Drosophila melanogaster: one gene and its partners. The protein of the gene in region 1 interacts with the protein of each later gene in a pairwise test. Each region holds a gene or a part of one and is shown on either strand. Other genes may lie near its edges.

Region 1 (7,733 bases):
TGCAGCACAGGAACAGCGAGCTGGAAACAAAGCTGGTTGATGCGGCCAGCATGGTAATATTGAGATCTCTCTTTAAATATTTACCCAAAGATTCGCGTGCTTTCAGCTTGGCAGCGAGGACGCACTGAGCGCCACCGGCAGCGATACTACTCCTCTACACAATCTCCAGCAGCAGTCGAATAGCAACCAACTCACCTCCGAGGATCGCATTGCGCTGCTCGAGAAGGAGGCGGCGCATTGGAGGGCTCAATTCGAAGTGGCCAAGCTGCATCAAGCATTTGTCTCGAACCCCAGCAAGGATCTCAGCACGTGCAGCTGCAGCACGGCGGCGGCGGGCGTCACCGTTCGACCGGCAGAGTCGGAGGCGAAAGGCAGCCAGCGGGCGCGGGATTCGCTGCAGGATCCCCCCGAACCGCCCACCAAGGAGCAGCTCATCTACAGTGTGTTCAGCAAGAAGTTCGAGGATCTGATGCGACTGAAAGTGCAAGCGGAATCCAAGTTGCGATCCTACGAGCTGGAGGTTCAGCACCTGCAAAACTGCCTGGAGAACGCAACGCACGAACTTAAGGCCAAGGACGATCAGTTGGCCAGTTTGGGTGGAGCCCTGCAAATGCTCGAAGAGGAGTTGGTGAGTTGTGCCTGCAGTTTTGTGCTCTTAGAACCAAGTGACATCTCGGATTTCCTTAGACTACGACGCGTATTAACTACGAGGAGCAAATCAGCGTGCTGACGGAGCAGGTCATCAGCTTGAGTGACCAGCTGGCCGCCTGCAAATGAGCATGGACAGCGGCGCGCATCCCGCCCAGCTGCTTTACTGTATATTGTTGTAAAATAACTAACTGGGAACGCCCGCTCCCCCTCTACCCTGTTTTGTTATTGTCCACCCTCGACGTGTATATAACTGAACATTCTATGTGTATTAAATAATTCTCTAAAGTTTAAAGTTTACAATTTGATTGAGAAGGAGGAGCCGCAGGAGCAGCCCTGTTCCGCCAGCGGATTGGCCACCATCCGGAAACCGGCGCGTATTAGTTCGCTATGGTAGTCCACGGTGGCGCCGCTGCAGTACTCCAGCGAGACTGTATCGATCACCACCTTGGCCTCAGCCTCGCCAAACTGTCGGTCATCCTCGTTCAGCTGCTTATCCAAATCGAATTTGTACTGAAAGCCGGAGCATCCGCCTCCTTCGACGGTCACACGCAGGAAAGATCCATCCACGCAGATCTCACGGAGCCGTTTCAAGCAGCTCTCGCTCACCTGGACACTAAGTTCGGGATTCGCGGATGTGGAAGCGGTTGCATGCCGCATTAGGATTAGATTTCTATGGAAGATCAAGCATTTATTGTGGGATTTGTCACGCAATTTTTCCTAGCTTATTTCACCTTTGCAATCCGCTCCTGGCCACTTGTCGCAGTAGGAACGCCATAATTTTACGATTTCACAGCCAAAAAATGTAATTTCAATATTTCTATTTACTATCTCGTAATCCAAACAATTTCAGCTGATTTCGCACGATAACGATAGGTGTCGATAGTTCGATACATCCCAACTGGGCCATCTAGGCTTGTGTACATGCTGTTGTGATGTTTTCGTTTTCAAACTGAGTTTATTGTCATGTAGCTTTCAAATTGCATTCATTAAATTTTATAATTTAAAAAAAAACACGTAGTTTTTCGATCATTTAATTTCCGAATTTGTATTGTGCCTTGAGTGCGTGCTACTTACCAGCTGGTATATTTTAGACGCATGTAAATTCTAGTACATTCAATTATTCATCTACGGTCACACTGCCGCTTGGGAGGAATTTTTAAAGACGTTGGGTTGTTTGATTTTACGCTCAAACTTGTTTCGATTTCTACTGCGTAAATGCTGCCCCACATACGAATTTATTACATATATCGATAGAGCAGATGGCTCTGCAGCTAACAGTAAATGGAAAGTTCGGGGCCAACCTGAGGAGGACCATAGGACCACTGGACGATCCAGAGCAAGTACGCAAAGATCTCGAAAGTGAGCGTCGCATAACCCGTTTGAAGCAGGTAACTTGTCCCTTGGGTTCCGAGCCCATTGCGCAGTAATTGTAACACAAAGCGTGACCACTTAATTTTATAACCAGGTGCGGGAGAAGTCAAACCACCTGGCACGCCAGATACGCGAGGATGTGGCTGCCGAAAAGAGGCGTCAAATCCACAAATTAGAGCAGGTCAAGCAAAGGGAGCTAAATGCGTGGCGTGAGCATGTTTTGGTCAAAAAGCACCAGGACTACCGTTCGGCCATTTTCCAGGTGGGCGCCGCCCATCGCGCCGCAAAGGAGGAGAACGAACGCATCGAGCAGCAGAGGCAAGAGAGAATCGACAAAATCCGAAGGTGTCGCAAGCAGGCCTTGAAAAGATCGGCTAAAGCCAGCGTTGAGTTGCGGACCACAAACACAATGAATTTAAATGCGGAGGGACGTGCCTCGGCGGGAACACAAACGCCCATAGTGGAGGACAAAGAAAACCGAATGGAGAGCGGGTGTAACAAACCCTGTTGCAAGGGCAAGCGCAAAAGGAAAACCAGCTGTGGATGTGCCAGCACCGATGCAGAGGATGAGAAGGAGGATGACGCATCGTCCGATGACGACTCATCCATCCTGATCATCGAGAGTCCGAGCAGCAACCGGCGTCTCCAAAAAACTACCCCCGTAATCCTAGACGTAGAAATCGAGGAAACCATTTCTGAAACCGACAAGAATCCCGAGGGTATGGATATAAATGATAGGTTCATGCAAACCAACCGGAAATTCAGCCATGTCGTGCGACCCAGTGATGATGAACCCCAACGCCGGCCGAGATTCACTCAGATCAGCGATTTGGTAAGAAAAACCGAGACCACCGTACGAGCTGGGCCAAGTCAACGAAGGGAAGCAGATCCTACTCCACCAGTATCTGCCCCGCCTAGTCCCACCAAATCCCCGCCAAGATCGCCCAGAAAATGTGTAGAGCGTGAGGAGCCCGTTCCTGCTCCAGCACCCAGAAAATCACCCACTAAAACAGCTAAAGGATCGCCGAAGAAAACTGTGACGGCACCACGTAACCAGCCATCAGTCAAAAGAACGGGTTTAAAATTAAATCCAGCTCCTGCCAAGGTGATAGATGCGGGAATACACAGAGGTCAGAAGGCCAAAGCTCCAGCTACGCTGCCCAAAGTAACAGCTATACAGAAACCAGCAGTGGAACCTCCTCGAAACCTTCCACCGATTCCAGAACAGGCTATGCCAGCTGTGCCAAATCCGTCGATGACCCATTGTTATCCCATGCCGCAGAATCAACCATACATGCATCCGTATGCTCAACTTCCGATGCAACCATATGCGATGCCATATTCAATGCCATTTCCCGTGCAAGCCCAGTTTCCACAACCTCATCCGATGTATGCACCGCAGCAAATGATGCCGAATCAGCCAGCTGTACTCGGTCCCGCTATTACTGCTCCACCGAGCACTGCTACGCAATCCACTGTGTCCACCACCACAATTACCATGTCCTCGCGACAGGACCCAAGGACGACTCAATGTGGGCGTGTTCAGTTCTATGATCATAGCAATAAGTACCATAGAACGTACGAAGCACCAACACAGTCGGTGCAGTGCAATGAGAAGGATGCCACCCAATTGACCGCTATGGATCATGCTCGCATCGAGAACCAGCTGAGGGATCTGCGGGAACAGGAACTGGACAAACTGAGGTAGTAGCCAGTAAAAGAAACAGAACACAGAACTTATCTTAATGAATCAAATTGAAATCAATAACGTATTTCAATAGGAAAATTAGTGACGATCGTGGTCAAAAGGCTCTTGAACGCGAGCAAGTGCGTCGGGATTGTGCTGAATTAACGGAAAAGCTAGATGCTCTAACGCAACAGCAACCGCAGCTCTTGCCAACCGATGTAAGGAAATCAAATATTTTTCCTCTTTAAATAATACAAACTCATTTTCCCACCAGGCTAACATTATACCTAGCCATCGGTACGCGGATGCAGCTGCCAGGCGAGAGCAAAAGATGAACGATGCAATGGAAGAAATGCTGCTTCGACCAGCCATTATCACCTGCCCGGAAGTGCGCACCAAACCTACTCCTCCAAACTTATCGCGCAGCAAATCCAAAGCTTCTGTGGCAGTTAATTTGGGCGAACCTCCTGTTCAAATCGGCCGGGATAATCTTGGCAGCTCGGAGAGCTGCAGCTCCATTCTTCTCGACTACGTTAATGATCAAAGCAAGCAACTCAAGTCGGACCTGCAGGCCGAGCAGTCAAACTCACTGAAATCGATGAGGCTAAAGAGTTTGCTTGAGCGCATTGAGAAAATTCGAGTCCAGCTGTTGGAGGAACTGAAGGCGGGTGAGTCAGGTGCATCAAAGGGTGACAATGCACAGGAATTGAATAATATACGTCAGGAGCGAGCTGATATTCTATCCGAGCGAACGAGAACTTTAAACGAACGAGAATCTGATTTGCAACAGAAGGAGGCTATTCTCGAGCAGCGTCTAAGAAAGTTCTACAAGGAGACAAAAAACGCAAAATCCAGTGAGAGTGATAAGCCAAAATCAAACGCAAAAGAAGATGGGCCAGTTGAGATCATTATTAAGGTGAGGAGTGACGGTACTGTTAAGCAATATGTACCGAGAACAAAATCGAAAGCCAAAACCAAGCCGTCGGCTATCGACAATGAAAAGGATGTGCCCCTGGGCTCAACTGACAGCACACCAAGAGACGATGAGCCAAAGCCGACGGAACAGGATCACGGAAAGCGACCATTCTTACAGGATCAGCGTCAGATATCCATTGATTCCAACTCCACTGCCTATCGCAGTCTGCCGCCAGTGAGCTATAAAAATATGACCACGGCCGCTCCCCCTTCTGCTCCATTACATCCCATGGTGGTTCAATATATAAATCGTCTGCTAGGAATGACACGCCAAAATATCGATGAGATGGGTGTGAGTTCCTCGTGTGTGACCACACCATCAACGTCGGTGATCAACTCATTGAGAAACGTAACCCCTTGTCCCGAGCCTGAAGCGGGAAGAGCTGAAAGGGATCAGGATGAAAATACGGAGATGAACGAGCATCGCATGGAGCGGGTGCAAACCTTTATTGCCGACAATCGCAGCTTAATCAATGACTTGGAAGAATCAATACGTTGCCAGCAGCAGCTGCAAAGGGAGCAACAATCGCTGGATGCAGAGAAAAGTATGCGCGCATTCGATCAAATATGGAACAAGCGTTTGGCCAAGAATCCTGAAGATTGTCAGCAAACCAACAAAGAGAAAGAGCAAACAAGAGAAAAGATGCCAAGGGAAAGGCCGACTCCACAAGGAGATAGGAAAAATGCAGCACCTCCACAGGAAAGCGGCAAAATTCGTAGAACTCAAGAAGGGGACCGGCAGCAGCAAACAAACGGTGCAGTGCAACAAAAAAGGGAGCAAAAGACTGTAAAACAAGGTTCAGGCGCCGATAAAAGCACAAACCGCTTTGCCCCCGAAAAATCGAAAGCACTATCCACCAGTGAGGAGTCATCTGCCCGAAACATGGAACGCTATGCACAGCTCACGGAGAACTGCACCCAGCGGATCGCCGAACTTACAGAGCTGATCACGAAAGTGCGCGAGGAGAAGCAGCGACTGGTGGAGGTCACCCTCACATCGAACAGCGATGGCGAGCGGCAGTCCACTGAATATCTTGAGCTTCCAACAGGACAACAGCAAACCAGATGCCGGACAATTTCCGATCGCAGCGATTCTCAAACACCTTCGACCTCGGAAGCCTTGCCGTTGCAGAAGCACAAGCCGACAGCGGCCAGCAGGGATAGTGGCATTGCGGACTCACGTCCAATTACGGCACAGGGTCAGGTTTGTATCGATGTGGAACCCATCTCGCTTGGGTCATCAACGCAGAATAATACAGCACGCGGACGAGTAAGGGCACCTCCGGCCACGATTCGTCGGTATAGTCCTCAACTAAACGCCGAGGATCTGGCGCACGAGCTGTCGACCATTACAGAAGTGGAAACGCCAGGACAATCACATATTGTGGCCGCCACACCGGTGCCCAAGCCATTCCCTAGTTTCGATCAGTATGCCAAGGAACTGCACTTAGATCTGTCGCGGTTGGATGCTGATCAGAGCCAACGGCTGCAGGGCGAATTTAATGACTTAATACTCGCGATCAGGCAACGCAATCAAGGAACTGACTACCGTGAGTTTCCTAGCATTAATGCCTATCTTCATAACATGACTAGCACCCGAATCCATGTGGAGATAGGTCAGGATGCAGATCAGGCCACTCTGTCACCGGGTGAACTGATGCGACAGCTGCGCGTGATCACTCATAGTATCCAAGACTTTCCCAAGCGCAGGGAATACTTTGAAAAACTTATGGCCAAGCAACCACCCGATCAGAGGGATCTAATAGACAGTGCTAGCTTAGAGAATGATTCCACGGATTCATTTAACGTAGAGGAAGAACTCCGCCAGCGGAAAATTCTAAAGAACTCATTTCGTCGAGGAAACGCAACTGAGACCACATTGACGGCTCAGGAGGTGGCTAGCAGTACGCGGCGGGAAAGCGTCGCCCCAGTGACCAACGATCAACCCAACGAGAGTGGCATAGATCCCCTCTCCGGCAGCAACTTTTCCAGCGACGCGGATCAGAGAAGTCCGTGCTGGCATGCCACAATGCATGAGAGGCAACAGCAGGTGGATGAGTTGTGCAGCAGTACCACAGCCTCGTCGCCAGAACGGCGGCCACGAAAGTCTCGGCTTCGTGGAGGCCACGAGCACAACAATAGGTCTAAGGACGATTCCACTGTGCAGGATGCAAGCCAGATAGGAAGATCCCTTAATCTGAGGGAATTCCTTACGAGAGAGCTCCTCAAACATCGAGTGCACGACGACGTTGCCAGTGAGAGTTCAGATGAGTCCTTAAGGGGGCACTTTCTGAAGTCGGTCCTACATTCGCTCTCGCCCAGCAACAACACGCAAACGCCAGGAGTGGGTGTAAGCCATGCCACCGGAGCAACAAACGACAGACAAAAGACATCCACACCAGTGGGATCGTTCCTCTCCATTCCAGAGAAGGCCGGGTCCATGAGTAACACCGGCTCTCAACTGTTCTCCGGGGAGAGTCGCATCTCCCTGGTTAACTATCCAGATGGAACTCCACCCATTCCTTTTGAACAACAAAGCAAACTTAGTACAAATCAAACTCGCCAATCCTCAGGTCAAATAGGATCAGGTGTCAGGACAACGCATCGAAAGTCGCCCCGAAAATGATCGCCGAACTTTTAATTCGTTTGTTTAGGTTTTAGATTATATTATCCATTTTATGACAATTATTTATATTTTACTTACTTTGCAATTTTGTGTCAAAAAATGACTATCGAAAAAGATTGTATAAAATTTACTCAATAAGTTAAATGTACAATTTTATTACCAATTTGTGTGAAACTTATTTATATTTTAATAAACCCGACGATTATTTATTAAATTTCTATCTAGAGTTTCAAGTACAATATTTCGGTTGTATGAATATAGACTTGCAGTAATGTACACAATTTATAAACAATATATATATTTGATGGTCTAACTAGTGAGTAGATTAACCCACTGATCCTTTGAGGACCTCGGTGTTTCAGTTCTGGTCCGGTACCAGAATGTAAGTAGCTTTTGTCATGTTGTAAGTAAACATCCGATTCA
Region 2 (7,665 bases), on another chromosome or scaffold:
GCCTGCGTACTTATTCTCTTCCTCCGAGAAGACCACCGACATCTCCACCCGAAGGCCAATCAGCAGTTTAAAGAGCTTGGTGCCCCGCAGCATGCCCTTATATTTGGCACCGAAACCGAAGAGTTTCCACAACATGAGGACAGCCAGGCGGTGCTCCTCGAAGGAGTTCAGCCCGTTTTTCTCGGATGTGGGTGCTTTTTGGACCCTCTGCTCCAAAATATCACGCAGCAGGTTAATAAAGTCAGCCAGCTCCACGAGCCGGGGGCGATTACCATTGAAGAAGCACATGTTGCGGAGTATTCGAAGGCACAGGATCCGCTTGTGACTCAATGGAGGACTACGCCGAATCGTGTTTATAAGAGATTGAAGATGGCAAGCCTTTCCTCCTACGTCGTACCGGGAAAATACCTCCCAGAATCCGAGCCATGCAATCAGTACAGGTGGTCGCACTTTAAGATGTGTTGAGCACGGATTAGCAGGAAGGATTGTGTCAAACATATCCAGCAAATTCATTTTGGACAAACTCAGCCGACCCTCGGTGCAGCAACAGCAGTTTACCATAACCCTTAGTGCGGGCACCATATTCAGAGATGGCTCTTTGTTTGGAATCTCCTTCTTGGTGGTCTCGAAGTCAGCGACGCGAGCCATTAGGTGTAGCAGGGATTGGGCATGTCCCGACTGAAGCAGGGATATCTGTTTACACATTTCGAATGAATGCTCCGTAAGGAACATAATCAGCTGGACAGTAACCTTTTTTAAGTGATACGAGTGCGATAACCAAGGCCAAATGCGGATGAGGATTTTGGCGATATTCGCAGCCATACTGGTCTGGATGATCTCAGAATTGGGAGAACTATGCCATTGGGATAGCATGTTAATCAGTACCAAGAGATTGCTTATGATACTTTGCGCCTTGTGAGGTCCCACTCGCTTCACATAGACGGCGGCGTTTCCGATTTTTTCGTCATTGAGAAAATCGTCCAGAATGTGAACTACCTTGCCAAGCAGCTTCGATTCTCCGGCTGCTTTCACGGCCCAGGTTGATGCCTTAAGCAGTTCGCCGAGTGCTTCACAAACCTGCACCTGGCCCACTGCAGGAAGTTCCAAAAAGTTTAAGGCCTTCGATAGATAGTAACGGTCAAAGAGCTGATCCAAGCGATGGAAAATTATAATAGCCGCATTAGTGGCCTGGATCGCATGGTTTGGCCTTTGCTTATTGTCATCCGAATTATCCGAGGATTCATCGTAGATGCATTGCGATACAGATTGCTTCTTTTTTGACTCGAATTCTTGTTTGCCATCTTTAGCAATATCAGGATCACTGAATGCTAATTCGAACTTCTCCAACTCACTTAGCATGCTTATATCATACGCAGCAAGTTGAGCTTTGGTGAACACAAGTGATAATGCTGACAGAGTAAAGCGCTGAAATGGCGAATTAATAAGCTTCACATGCAATCCAAACAGGAAGAAATCCATGAATAGAGATGGCTTATTCTTTATCTGTTCGATGAGAAATGAGTTCGAATTCGAGTCCGTGCAGAATATGAGAAACATCTTTAATAGGGGAATCACCATGTACTCGGGACATTCCAAACTCAAAACATCGTTGATCAGCGTTAAATAATTCTGCAAGAATACAGAATCTCGACAAATCGTCATCTTAAGGAACTCAAAGTTATTAGTGTAGCACATCGAGTACAATTCACAAATTTGGGATGCACACAGTTCCACAAGCGGAATCGAACAGGACGCCTGCGACTTGAGTTTTTTCATCACATCGCTGAGACCACTCATCAAACTGTGGCCGCAGAGCGCGGCACACCACTCTGGCTTCATGGCCACCATTTTGGTGCATATGGCAACATAGCAGCTAATTACTTCACACGAATGCCGCTCACCAACTATCTTCTTGAACATCCAGGGAGTGTCGTGAATTGCTTTCAGCGAATTGTAGGCGGTCTTTAGTAAGTCATGTTTCCGCAACAATTCCAAGCTACTTTCGGCACCAATGAGCGGCATCAGAAGGATAAATACTCGTCCGGCCAACTCCCTGATCAGCATCATTTCGTGGGCATCCGTCAGAGTGGTTAAACAGCAAGCCGGCAGTCCGCCGGGTAGAAAATCCAGGCGAGGCAGAATTTCTGCTACCTGCGAGCCACAGATGGTTATCCAATTGGCCAACGATACCCAGGACAATGCACGCACTTCACTGTCACCGTGCCCGCAAAGTGTTAAGAAATAGCGCAAGACCTTATATGAAGCTCCGACATCGTTTGGGATACTGGCCTTGCTGGACGCCTTTGGCTCCTGATATATTAGATGGATCTGGAGCTGACAGATTATGTACAAGCAGTCCCGCTGCCACTCGGATCCGGTTTGAGTTGAGGTACGTAAATTGCTGGACAATTGGATAAAATGCTGAGAGTAGCTCTGCGGACAAAAATTCAAGGTAAGAAATCAATATCTAATGACGATGATCCTTTACTCACCATCAACTGAGCATTACTAAATTTCAGATTTCGCTCGCTTACAAAGCGCAGCATGCAAAGTATGCAGCGAACGTGCTGCAGCTGGCGCAATTCAAAGTGCGTCTTGGCCACGGCACTCAATTGCATAAAGAACTTGCCATACCAGTTCATCGAATCATCACTGAGCTCGTTGGACAAAAGCTGCATCATGCACTGGCAAATCAGGAATAGCTTATCCAGAGAAATTTGGCTATCGTGCAGGAGTAATTGGAAGCTGTGATGATGATCCGTTTCCAGAGCGTAGCTCAGTCCGTTGATAGCATGTGGCTGGCTGAAGCGAATGCATGTTACGCACAGATCCAGCATGGACTTGTACACCTTGTCATCCGCTTCGTTCCCCGGCGCTAAGCGGATGTACTTATGGATTAATTTCCACAAGTTCTCAGCCACCGTATCACTTAATGAGTTTCGCAGAACCACGAGAAATAGCTGAATGGCCGACACAGTTTTTTGCAGATCCTCGTGTTTGCTGCAATTCTCCGCTGCGATAAACTGACAACTTAGCTGCTCATTTAAGTCGGAGGATCTTACTAACGCCAAATCGGCCATTTTGATCTTAAGAGACTCCCTTATATCCAAAGCGCTCACAGACTCCAAAGTAATGCTGGATGGAACCTGGCAAACGCGATAGGCCATATACAGTCGCCAATGCTGTGCAGCTTTTGCCCTATCTCGCCCGAAATGGGTCGCCTCCACATTTTGTTGCAGCTCCAATCCTTCCGTAACGGCAGTGGGTATAACTTTATGTTCAATTTCATAGGTTACAGGCAAAATCAGGGGTTCCATATTCGCATTCAGTACCAGTTTGTCTTCAGTGGAGGTGATACAATTCTGGAACAGCATTTGGAACAGGCATATACTGACATCCTGGCGCAACTGTTCCAAGTGGGGGAACAAGAATAAAGCCCTCAGCAGTAAAGTGTACACCCCGAATGTGTTCGCGACTTCTAATCGAAACTCATCGTCATTGAACAGAAGCTTCATCAGGATACTCACAGTGGGCAGCAGAATATCAGTGTCGTTCCCCTTTTTCAGAGCGTTGTGCAGAGACTCCATAATCAGTCGATATCCATCCTCCTTTGTGGAGAATTCCTCACAAGCTCTCCAGTTTCGTAGCAAGACATTTAATTGAGTCATTGTTGACTTTCGGATATTCGACTTTATGTCCTTGGCCTGGAGTAATCGGAACAGGGCGTCCAAGCTGCGCTGACCTTGAAACCGCTCATCAGAGCATTTGATGAAAATGCTTCTATAACAGAATGGTGGTTGAATTATGCAGAGATCGTTGGCGATGTGCTCAACCGGTACGTTGCTTGCGGTGGGCAAATATCTATTCGTTTGCTCCTGACATTGCAGCACGTAAGCAATTGTAGTGGTGGCCTCGCTCCTAACCTCGCCATCCGGATGGAACATGAAGTAAACGTACCCGCGCAGCATCAATTGCGGATCCAAACGGCTGGAGTCCGGCTCTAAAACGTTCCATATGACGTTGTGCAATATCTTGTGTGTAACCGACCTGCTGATCAGCAGAGGCAGCACGGGGAGTAGCAACGGGAAAACAACGCTGAAATCCTGCGGAGCTAGAATAGCGTTTAGCTTCATAATCATTATAGGATAGTCGAGGCACCACTGCTGCATACGTTCCGAAGTATTTGCTTCCGAACTCTGAATTATCATTCTGCGTAACAGCAGGGGAGTTAGCGGCACGCCTAAGATATGCTGACGAATCAGATCCACATTGCTGCAGCCGGTCATATAGACTGTCTTGTTCATAAAGGAATGAAAGTGGGCCACGGTGGATTTGATCATTAAACGATATATAAGTGAACGAAGTTTGAGAGCAGGCAAATCAACAAGGGTGTAAAGCAGCTCATCCGCATCCTTTCTTAGCTTTAAATTGCCCGCGTAGAATGGAATGCATTTTACAACAGCTCCGAAGAGCTGCTTTACCAATGTCTCACTGCCCAGTTGGACGAGCACAAGGCACACTTGTCTGTACTTCTGGATTAGCAGCGACCCAGTCAGTTCCGTATTCGGATGTAATTGATTTAGGGCCACGCTGTAGGCCCGCTTCAGCTTGATCAACTCCTCGTCCGGTGATGGTCCAGAATCCAAAGACGATATTAGAGTGTTTAGCGACTTCATGCGCTCGGGCATGCCAGACAGGTAAGCGCTGTCCAAAACTATAGGTTGGATGAGTGCTTTGGCTTGGCGTCGGTCCATGCGTTTGTCATAGTTTATATTTAAGGCCACCATATCGTGCAGCACGCCGTTAAGGATCAGCGATTGCAGGCGGGGAATCCTGAGCGAGTCCATCAGCTGGGTCATGCAACTGCCTTCTACACTGTTACAATACGCCAGCAGACTTTTGACCGCGTCCGCGATGAGCGTAATGCTCACTAAGGGAATTTTTGAGCTGAGAACATCGTGGGTCCGCACTATTTCCACGATCAGCTCCATTATGTGCCAGTTGTCGTTTGTGCAGCTGAACAGCAACGGACGAATCAGCTTCATGCAATTTTCCAGCAGAATTACCAAGGCGCTCACCACCTTCACTTGCTTGGGGCGTGACGGAGGATCGAACCTGTCCGCGTAGCTCAGAGTGTTTCGGCGCAACAAGATGCGCTGCTGCAGCAGCCGCAGGCAGGCAATTAGTGCCCGGTTCACATGTATCAGGCTACCGTCAGTCATCGTTTGCAACTGAACCAGATGCAAGAATACGAACGGTGGCTGCAGAAAGTACTCAGTTGGGTAGTCGCCCATACGGATGATCAGTTCGGTGAGCTGCAACTGCAACTCAACGCTATTTCGTGGCAAATCAATCATGCTCTTCATGGTGGCCACATCGTCCAAGCACGGATGCGACCAGGAGGGCTCGTAATCTTCCGGTTTCAGATTGTCGTAAATCTGATTCGAACTGCTGTCTGCGGATTCAGTTGCCTGACTGGGAATGTCATTTGAACTAAGGCTGGAGACGCTCGGCGTCACCCGGTCTATGTTGTACTTCTCGAGAAGCAGCAAATTCATATCATCCAGCAATTCGCTGACCCGCTTGGACTCCTGCTTGTGTAGCACACGGCGAACCTTCTGCAGCTCGGCCTTGAAGCGTTCGTAAGGAATCTTGCGAATCACCGCCTCGGCGTACTCGGATCGAAGGAGTTCCATAATCATGGCCAGCACACGGTCGGGCACCAGCGGCGGTGTGTACCCGAACCAGCGGATGAGCTGCTTCAGCAGCAGGACCGGCTTGAACTGTATCGGCTCGCCCAGTTGCAGGCACCTGATGAATCTCGTCTCAATCTGGTCGAGCGCGCGCATACGGATCTCTTCCGATTCGCTAGTCAGCTTGGTTAGCTGCCCCTCCGCCAGCTGGAGGGCCGGGCTCTGTTTGGTACTCATTTCCTTAGACTAATAATACCCGACTTTTAGTTCGTTTTCACTTCTCTTCCAGGCAGCAAACGTTTTAGGATGTCATTTTTGAAAGCGTCAAACTCGAATTTTGGCTGGCGTTGCCACTCTGCTTGAGTGTGCGTTCCCTGCATAAGGGTCTAAAAATACTAAACCTATTAAAATAGTATTTCTCCACCTGACACCTCGCATCAGCAACAACGAACAATATTCCGCATCAATCTTTTATTGCTCCCTAAGAATTAGGTGCTTTTCACACATAATAAACAATTACTTGAACCTAATCCCTTTTTTGTTGAAGAACTTTTATTCATCTAATTGTTTTATTTTTATATTATTTATATGGTTTTACTTAATAATCTTATAAATTATGCCTCTGATATTTGCCTTATTTCACCAAAACTAAACTACGCGTATTAAATTGCCATATTTGTCTATCGATAATTTGGTCGCAACCGAGTTTGTTATTTCCCAGCATGGCAAGCACGGTCACGCTAGCGCTGTAGGTTTAAAAAAAAGTCGCCCATCTGATTGGACTTGAGTTTGTGCTTAGCGGGTAAATAATAGAGTTTGTTTGCCGCTGCGGTGGAGAACTAGACTTTTCTCTCTGTGTGTGTGTGTGTATAAATGCTTATCTTGGGTTTCATATCGTTTTGTTTACGTGCCGCTCTAAAGTGTAGCTGTGCGATTGTGAATACAGCCAAACGCTTTGTAACCGCTAATCATTGTTCGCCAACCGGTTATTTGCAATTTAAACTTCAACAAAGTGCTATTTCTGATCATTCTTATCCTTGTGACCCATTCATTGTTCCATTTTGAACAATAAAAAGGCTCCCTCGTGACGTCATCGGTTGGATTGTGTTGTTTTAAGTTTATGTTTTTGTTTGCTTTATTTTTGAGGCAAACAAACTTTACTCACACATACATGTGCACAGTGTACGCACATAGTGCCAAATGACACTTGATGAATTCGTAGTGCAAACAAAGCATATGCTGGAAATGAAAATGGAAATAGCGAAATGATGTCACTGGCGCACGCCCGGGTAACTCCCTCGCCCCGATGCCGCCCCTACCACACCCCAGAAACCATTTCGCCGGTCGCAACCTTCGCTTTTCCACCTTTTGCGTACATATATGTACATATGTATATCTCACCATCCAGTTGGAAATCAATGGCCCGTCTACTCTTTTCTAATTAGAAATGGCATGCAACTGCGATTGACATTCCGATTGGATGTCGCTCGAGTAATTTACAATTGAATATTTTGGACACTGAGCCAAAAAGGGGAGCTAAGCAACAAGTTCATTATTATTTATGGCTAATCTTATCGGATTGGCCACTTAAGTGCCCGATTATTGGACCATTATCGTCCCGCATCTCCACCCATTGAACTTCGACCGACTGAAGCAAAAAAGATTTATATTGCACCAGGAAAATGTTTGCCATTTGATTTGTGTCACTGCAACCCATTAGTATCAAACTTTGAATGGCTTATAAAAGATATTCCATTAAATATTATGAGTGAGTTCTAGGAACCGGCCTCATGAGACTTTGAGCTATTAAAGTGTGAATTTCTATTTGTAACTTTAAAATACGAAAAACCCGGCTCTACTGAACATTTCTGGCTTACAAACCAATTTAAAATAATTGCCATTCATTATACAGAGTGCTTTGAACTTCATATAGCATGCTCTTGGCAATTTTACCCATTTTATTCGTTTGTTA
Region 3 (4,879 bases), about 13 Mb from region 1:
AAAAATGTTTTAGAAATTTGCACAAATTTTGGCATTTTATAAACGCAAAACGAACCATCATCAACCAACTAAAATGCATAACGAACGAACAAACAAATGACGAAATAGATACATATTTTCTCACACTTCATTGGCTTATCGAAGGTATAAAATCGACAATTACAGGATAGATCTAGATCGCAACACAGCCGAACCGACGACGATCGACTTCACAGGCTGCTGGCAAACGGTCCGTGCAACTTTTAGTGCATTTAAATAAATTATAAACACAAAAACAAAAGCAAACACAAAAATGATCGAAGGAGCGTAAGCGAAACATAAGCAGTTCATATTTACAGGAGCTAAATAAGTAATGCGGGGGGTTTGCGGCCAAAGAGAAGTTAAATTGTAGTTAGAGGTGGATGGATTAATACCCTAGGATGGCATTTAGGGCAAGGATCAGACGAAAAGGGCGCGTAGCATTACACCTTTTACATTAAACGACGATACGATGCCGCGCATCCAATTTGAAACTGTACGTATTGAATTTATGTTTAGTGTCTGCAGCATGCGGGGGATGTGAAGGAAGGAAGGAGGGAAGAAAAAGGATCGACGGGCGAAGAGCTAAATACATTTAAGGGTTAGATTTTCTGCGAAAGGACTGAAGTTAAGGCAACGTAGCGTTTAAATGCAAAATTGAATTGAATTGAATTGATGACGAAACCGAGTGTTATGGATAATGGAGCGTGCGCGAATGCGATTGGTGACGAAAATTACTTGTTTTAAGGCTGGACTTATGTAATTTCGAGCAAAAACGATAGTAGCGAAACAAAAACATGTAAAATGCAGATATAATATTTTTATAATTAAAACAAAGGTACCCCCACCCCACTACCCTTATCTTAATATGTTTAATTCAACTGCAATTATCGTTAAAGACGTATTTACTGTTTGTGATCCAAATTCATTGATTAAACGTAAACTACACAAAGATACAATTGTTGCATGGGCAAGGTTTGAAGTCCGGGTTCGCAAAGTACCCACAAGTACTCGATCCCCGGGTCTCAAAGACGAGGAAATCACGAGTCAATAAGCCAGGTTTAAAACTTGCAGGTGCGTCGTCAATGGCTCGCAATATTTTCCGGTCGGGCCAAATCCGAAAATGGCCTGCCCGAAAATTATACACACCTTACAGGACCGAGTGTTAAGAGTACTTTTGGACTCTCTGCGAACCCATAGAAATAGAGCAGGAACAGTAAATTGTACTTAATTGAAAAATGATATAATAAAACACCGCCACTTTGAAATATATTTACTTGAATCAAATAATATTAATGAGTATATATAACTTTGTACTTGAATAATATTTTATTTATATTTACCTTAAGTCAATAAAAATTCTAATAAATTATAATCACCCAAAAATGCATTTTGTTCAAATGTCGAGGGGAGTTCTTTTCAACTGCTGATTGGAAAATTGATGCCTTTTATTATTGATATTTGCGAATACTGATTGACAAGCTGCGAACCTTGAGTAAACGTATTCTTCCCAAAAATAAAATATAAAATAAATAAAGAAGGCTAATAAGTTTCATAGTGGGGTGTAAATTAAACAATTCAAAAGAACCGCCCAACTGTGGTTTATAAGCTTGGCGCACTACGCCAAGTAAAATACATGTAGAAAACGTGACGGCGTTGCCACTCTTATTGTATTTAGCTAGTTTAACCACCAAATAAACAGCGAAGTTCTCAACCATATGTGAGTTGCGTAGCCATACTACATTTGAAGCAAAAAACCCTAGTGTCGCTGCCGTCTTGTGGTATTTTCGTTGGCCCGAAAAACGGTCCTACCAAAATGGTACCTCCGGCCACACGGATGAATTCGTCGTCATTCGTCGGAATCATTCGAACTTTGAAAATGGATCGGTAGCTGGGAAGGAAACTTAAAGCGAAATACGCAAAGAAAACGGCTTTTGTCCGCTATTCAGCGATTTTTTTTGTGTTGTAATCAGCAGAGGAAATTTTAACGACCAACTCCACCGCCACACCAGCCATCTCCAGCAGCTCCGGAAAATAAAATAGAACTAAATTAACGCCTCCATCACTACAACAACCATCTCACCAACAACTACAAGAGCAACAACCACAGCAACAGCACTACTGCACCAAGCCCACAAAGAAGAGGTGAAACGCAAAAATCGCAATACCCGAAGAAAAAAACAAAAAATATCGCAGATAACCGAAAAAAGCGGTGCAAATAGATAAACCCCATTTTTTGCTTGAGCTTTTTTCGCCTGTGTGATGAGAGAAATCAGCAGCAGCCATCGATTACAACAACAACAGCAGCCACACCAACGACGACTCAACCACCAAACCAAGAATAAATAAACAGCGGAGAGCGATAGATAGAGAGAGAGAGAGAGAGGAGCATCTGCAGCAGAATTGAATCAGTTTTTTCATCAACCGCCGCATTGTATTAAAAACACAAAAATCCCATAGGCGGCCACCATTTTGATTTTGAATGAACTGAACGAGAAGAGAGGAAAGAGCACGAGAGACTGAGAAAAACTGCTGCTCATTTGTTGCACCGTAAACCCTTTTTCCAGCTTGTAAGCACTCTGCCTGTCTCACTCTAATCGCGTCCAGGAGCACCGTACAGTAACAACAACAGCAACAACATGGTGGAGCCCAAGTCCGGGACAGCTGCTTCTGCCGCTGCTGCGAAAGCAAGCAACAACAATAACAACAACCACCCCCGTGGATCTGGGGACAGCGGCATCCGGAGTGGCAGCGGCATTTCCTGCAGCAACACGGACAACAGCTGCAGCCAGAGTCAGTCAGGTGAGCAATTTGAGTTTCTAGAACTCTGGGAGTTTGACACTAAATTCCCATAGCTGAGAAGCAAACTGTGATGCATGAGATATATTTTGGAAACCTTCTGAAGAGATTTCGCATATTTGCGCTTCGTGTGTCACCAGTTTAATTTTAACTAGACAACATGTTAACAGAATGATGAAATAATTGCAAATATTTGCTCTGACTGTGAATTTGGCAGCTCTTTCGTATAAATTTGAACTTCTACCTATTGGAAATTCACCTGTATCTCTGTCGTAATATTGTTGTATTGCCTAAATATAAAGTATATTTCGTAGGCAACAGTTATTTGCATGCCAAAAGAAAACAAAAGCCTTATTTAAGCATATAATTATTATTTTGAGAATGTGACAAACGTTCTTTGCTTCTTAAAGTTGTACCTATAAAATACGATTTGTAGGATATTTCTGCTAAAATGCAATGGTAAAAAAAAGATATACGTTAATGTAATATTTTGTATCGGAAGTTATACTTCCTCTAAAGTTCCTAACCATATGTATGTATTATTCTGCTTGTCATTGGGTGGGGACTGACTACCAATCAGAGAAAAGACCCGACCATTGCTCCTACGCTTTCATTCAGTGGATTTCTAGTCAGTTATCGGCAAAGCTGGGCCAGGCAGCACTTTCGTTTCGTTTACCCTTGCTAATCAATCGAACGAACTAGGGAGCATTGACTGACTGGGCCACGTTGCGCACCGGGTGCCGCAGTGTATTTCCTTGACGTCACACGATGTTCGAGAACATGCATGCTGTCTGCCTGCCGGCGCCCAACCCCACCACCCACTCCGCTTCCCTTCACCCACCCCGCACAGTCTGTGTGGTGTTTACAGTTGTTTTGTTTCGCCAAGAGAACCCCATTGCATCATTCGACTGGGGCCATTAAGCTGAATATAAGTGTGTATGTGCCCTAATTTTAGGGGTATTCCAGCATCTGGACTTTATAACCATCACTGGGGGTGTTATTATTGTACACAAGTTCTTAATTATATGTGGGATTTGATATATGCTATAAAATAACAATGACAAAGATCAACTAAATCCACTAATTAGTCATATTCTAACTGGAGGTTAAACTAGAAGTTTGTTGTTTTCGTTTAGATAGTGATTATAGTCCATACTTTGTGTTTATCAAAGATAATCTTATGAAACAGGACAGATTGTTGTGTAAATATGCTAGATACGGTTGGGTTGGACCACTGACATCCACTAATTCCACTAATATCCTATAAAATCGGGCATAAGTGAGCTGCTTTGAAAAATCATGAAATCCATATGGGTAAACTGCTGTACAATAGGAATATATTCACACATACATATGTAGATTTCAGCACCAATAGTTACCCTTTGTAATTAGACCAGTTGACTGGTATAAATTCGCATAATATGATTATCAATTTAAGCAATACTAGATTCCAAGCACAAAAGGGTATTCCTTTTCCCTGCCATTCCACCAACACCACCAAAGCTGCCGGCGAAGTGAGAGAGACGGCACTAGTATCTGTGCCAGCTAGCCGAGACCGAGAAATTGAAATTGAGCGTGTGCAGGCAGTTATGGAAATGGAAAATGACTCATGATGGCTGATCGATTGAGCGTAATGCACTGACACTCGTGTTCAAATGCGTATTCGTGCCCAAAATGCAGCGAACGCGGCGAAATGTGAACAAACTACGATTATAACCTTCATGACGTTTATTGCACTTGGTGTGACGTTCGTTGCTTGGCCTCCCACACATATAAAATGTGTGCGCCCATTAGGAGTTGTGCTGGAGTGGATTTTGCAGCTGCAATCAACTGAGTGCAAAACGCTGTCAATTGGAGCCCACCAGCTGGAAACTTGTTTTCCCCCCAACGATCCATAATAATTTTCCATAATTATCGAGAAGTTTTTCATTCTATCGAGGCCTATCGATAGGAGGACATCTAGTGGTGCCTACGTGCAGCCTCCTCCGATTCATGAAATCAGCCCAATATATCTCTGTCTCCCTTGCTCGTTTGCGCAAAAGCCCTGAGAGAGAAATTTATT

Evidence for each region. The genes of interacting proteins can lie anywhere in the genome.
Region 2: the proteins of ana1 (region 1) and ana3 interact in a two-hybrid assay, tested with the Drosophila melanogaster proteins (one study listed by BioGRID).
Region 3: the proteins of ana1 (region 1) and Lk6 interact in a two-hybrid assay, tested with the Drosophila melanogaster proteins (one study listed by BioGRID).

What each region holds. Positions count from the first base shown.
Region 1 is NT_033777.3:24,528,876-24,536,608, forward strand, and holds ana1 (anastral spindle 1), read left to right. Parts: upstream 1-1,700; 5' UTR 1,701-1,910; coding exon 1,911-2,039; intron 2,040-2,116; coding exon 2,117-3,726; intron 3,727-3,803; coding exon 3,804-3,927; intron 3,928-3,983; coding exon 3,984-7,310; 3' UTR 7,311-7,520; downstream 7,521-7,733. Other genes in the region: CG6607 (uncharacterized protein), read left to right, coding at 1-53, 107-628, 688-777; CG13623 (uncharacterized protein), read right to left, coding at 946-1,321, 1,383-1,426.
Region 2 is NT_033778.4:12,343,351-12,351,015, reverse strand, and holds the start of ana3 (anastral spindle 3), read right to left. Parts: upstream 6,034-7,665; 5' UTR 5,931-6,033; coding exon 2,493-5,930; intron 2,434-2,492; coding exon 1-2,433. UniProt on the Drosophila melanogaster protein: Participes in the structural integrity of both centrioles and basal bodies and in centriole cohesion. Participates in the later stages of centriole assembly through the interaction with Rcd4 leading to the centriole to centrosome conversion.
Region 3 is NT_033777.3:11,761,425-11,766,303, reverse strand, and holds the start of Lk6 (Lk6 kinase), read left to right. Parts: upstream 1-1,846; 5' UTR 1,847-2,657; coding exon 2,658-2,820; intron 2,821-4,879.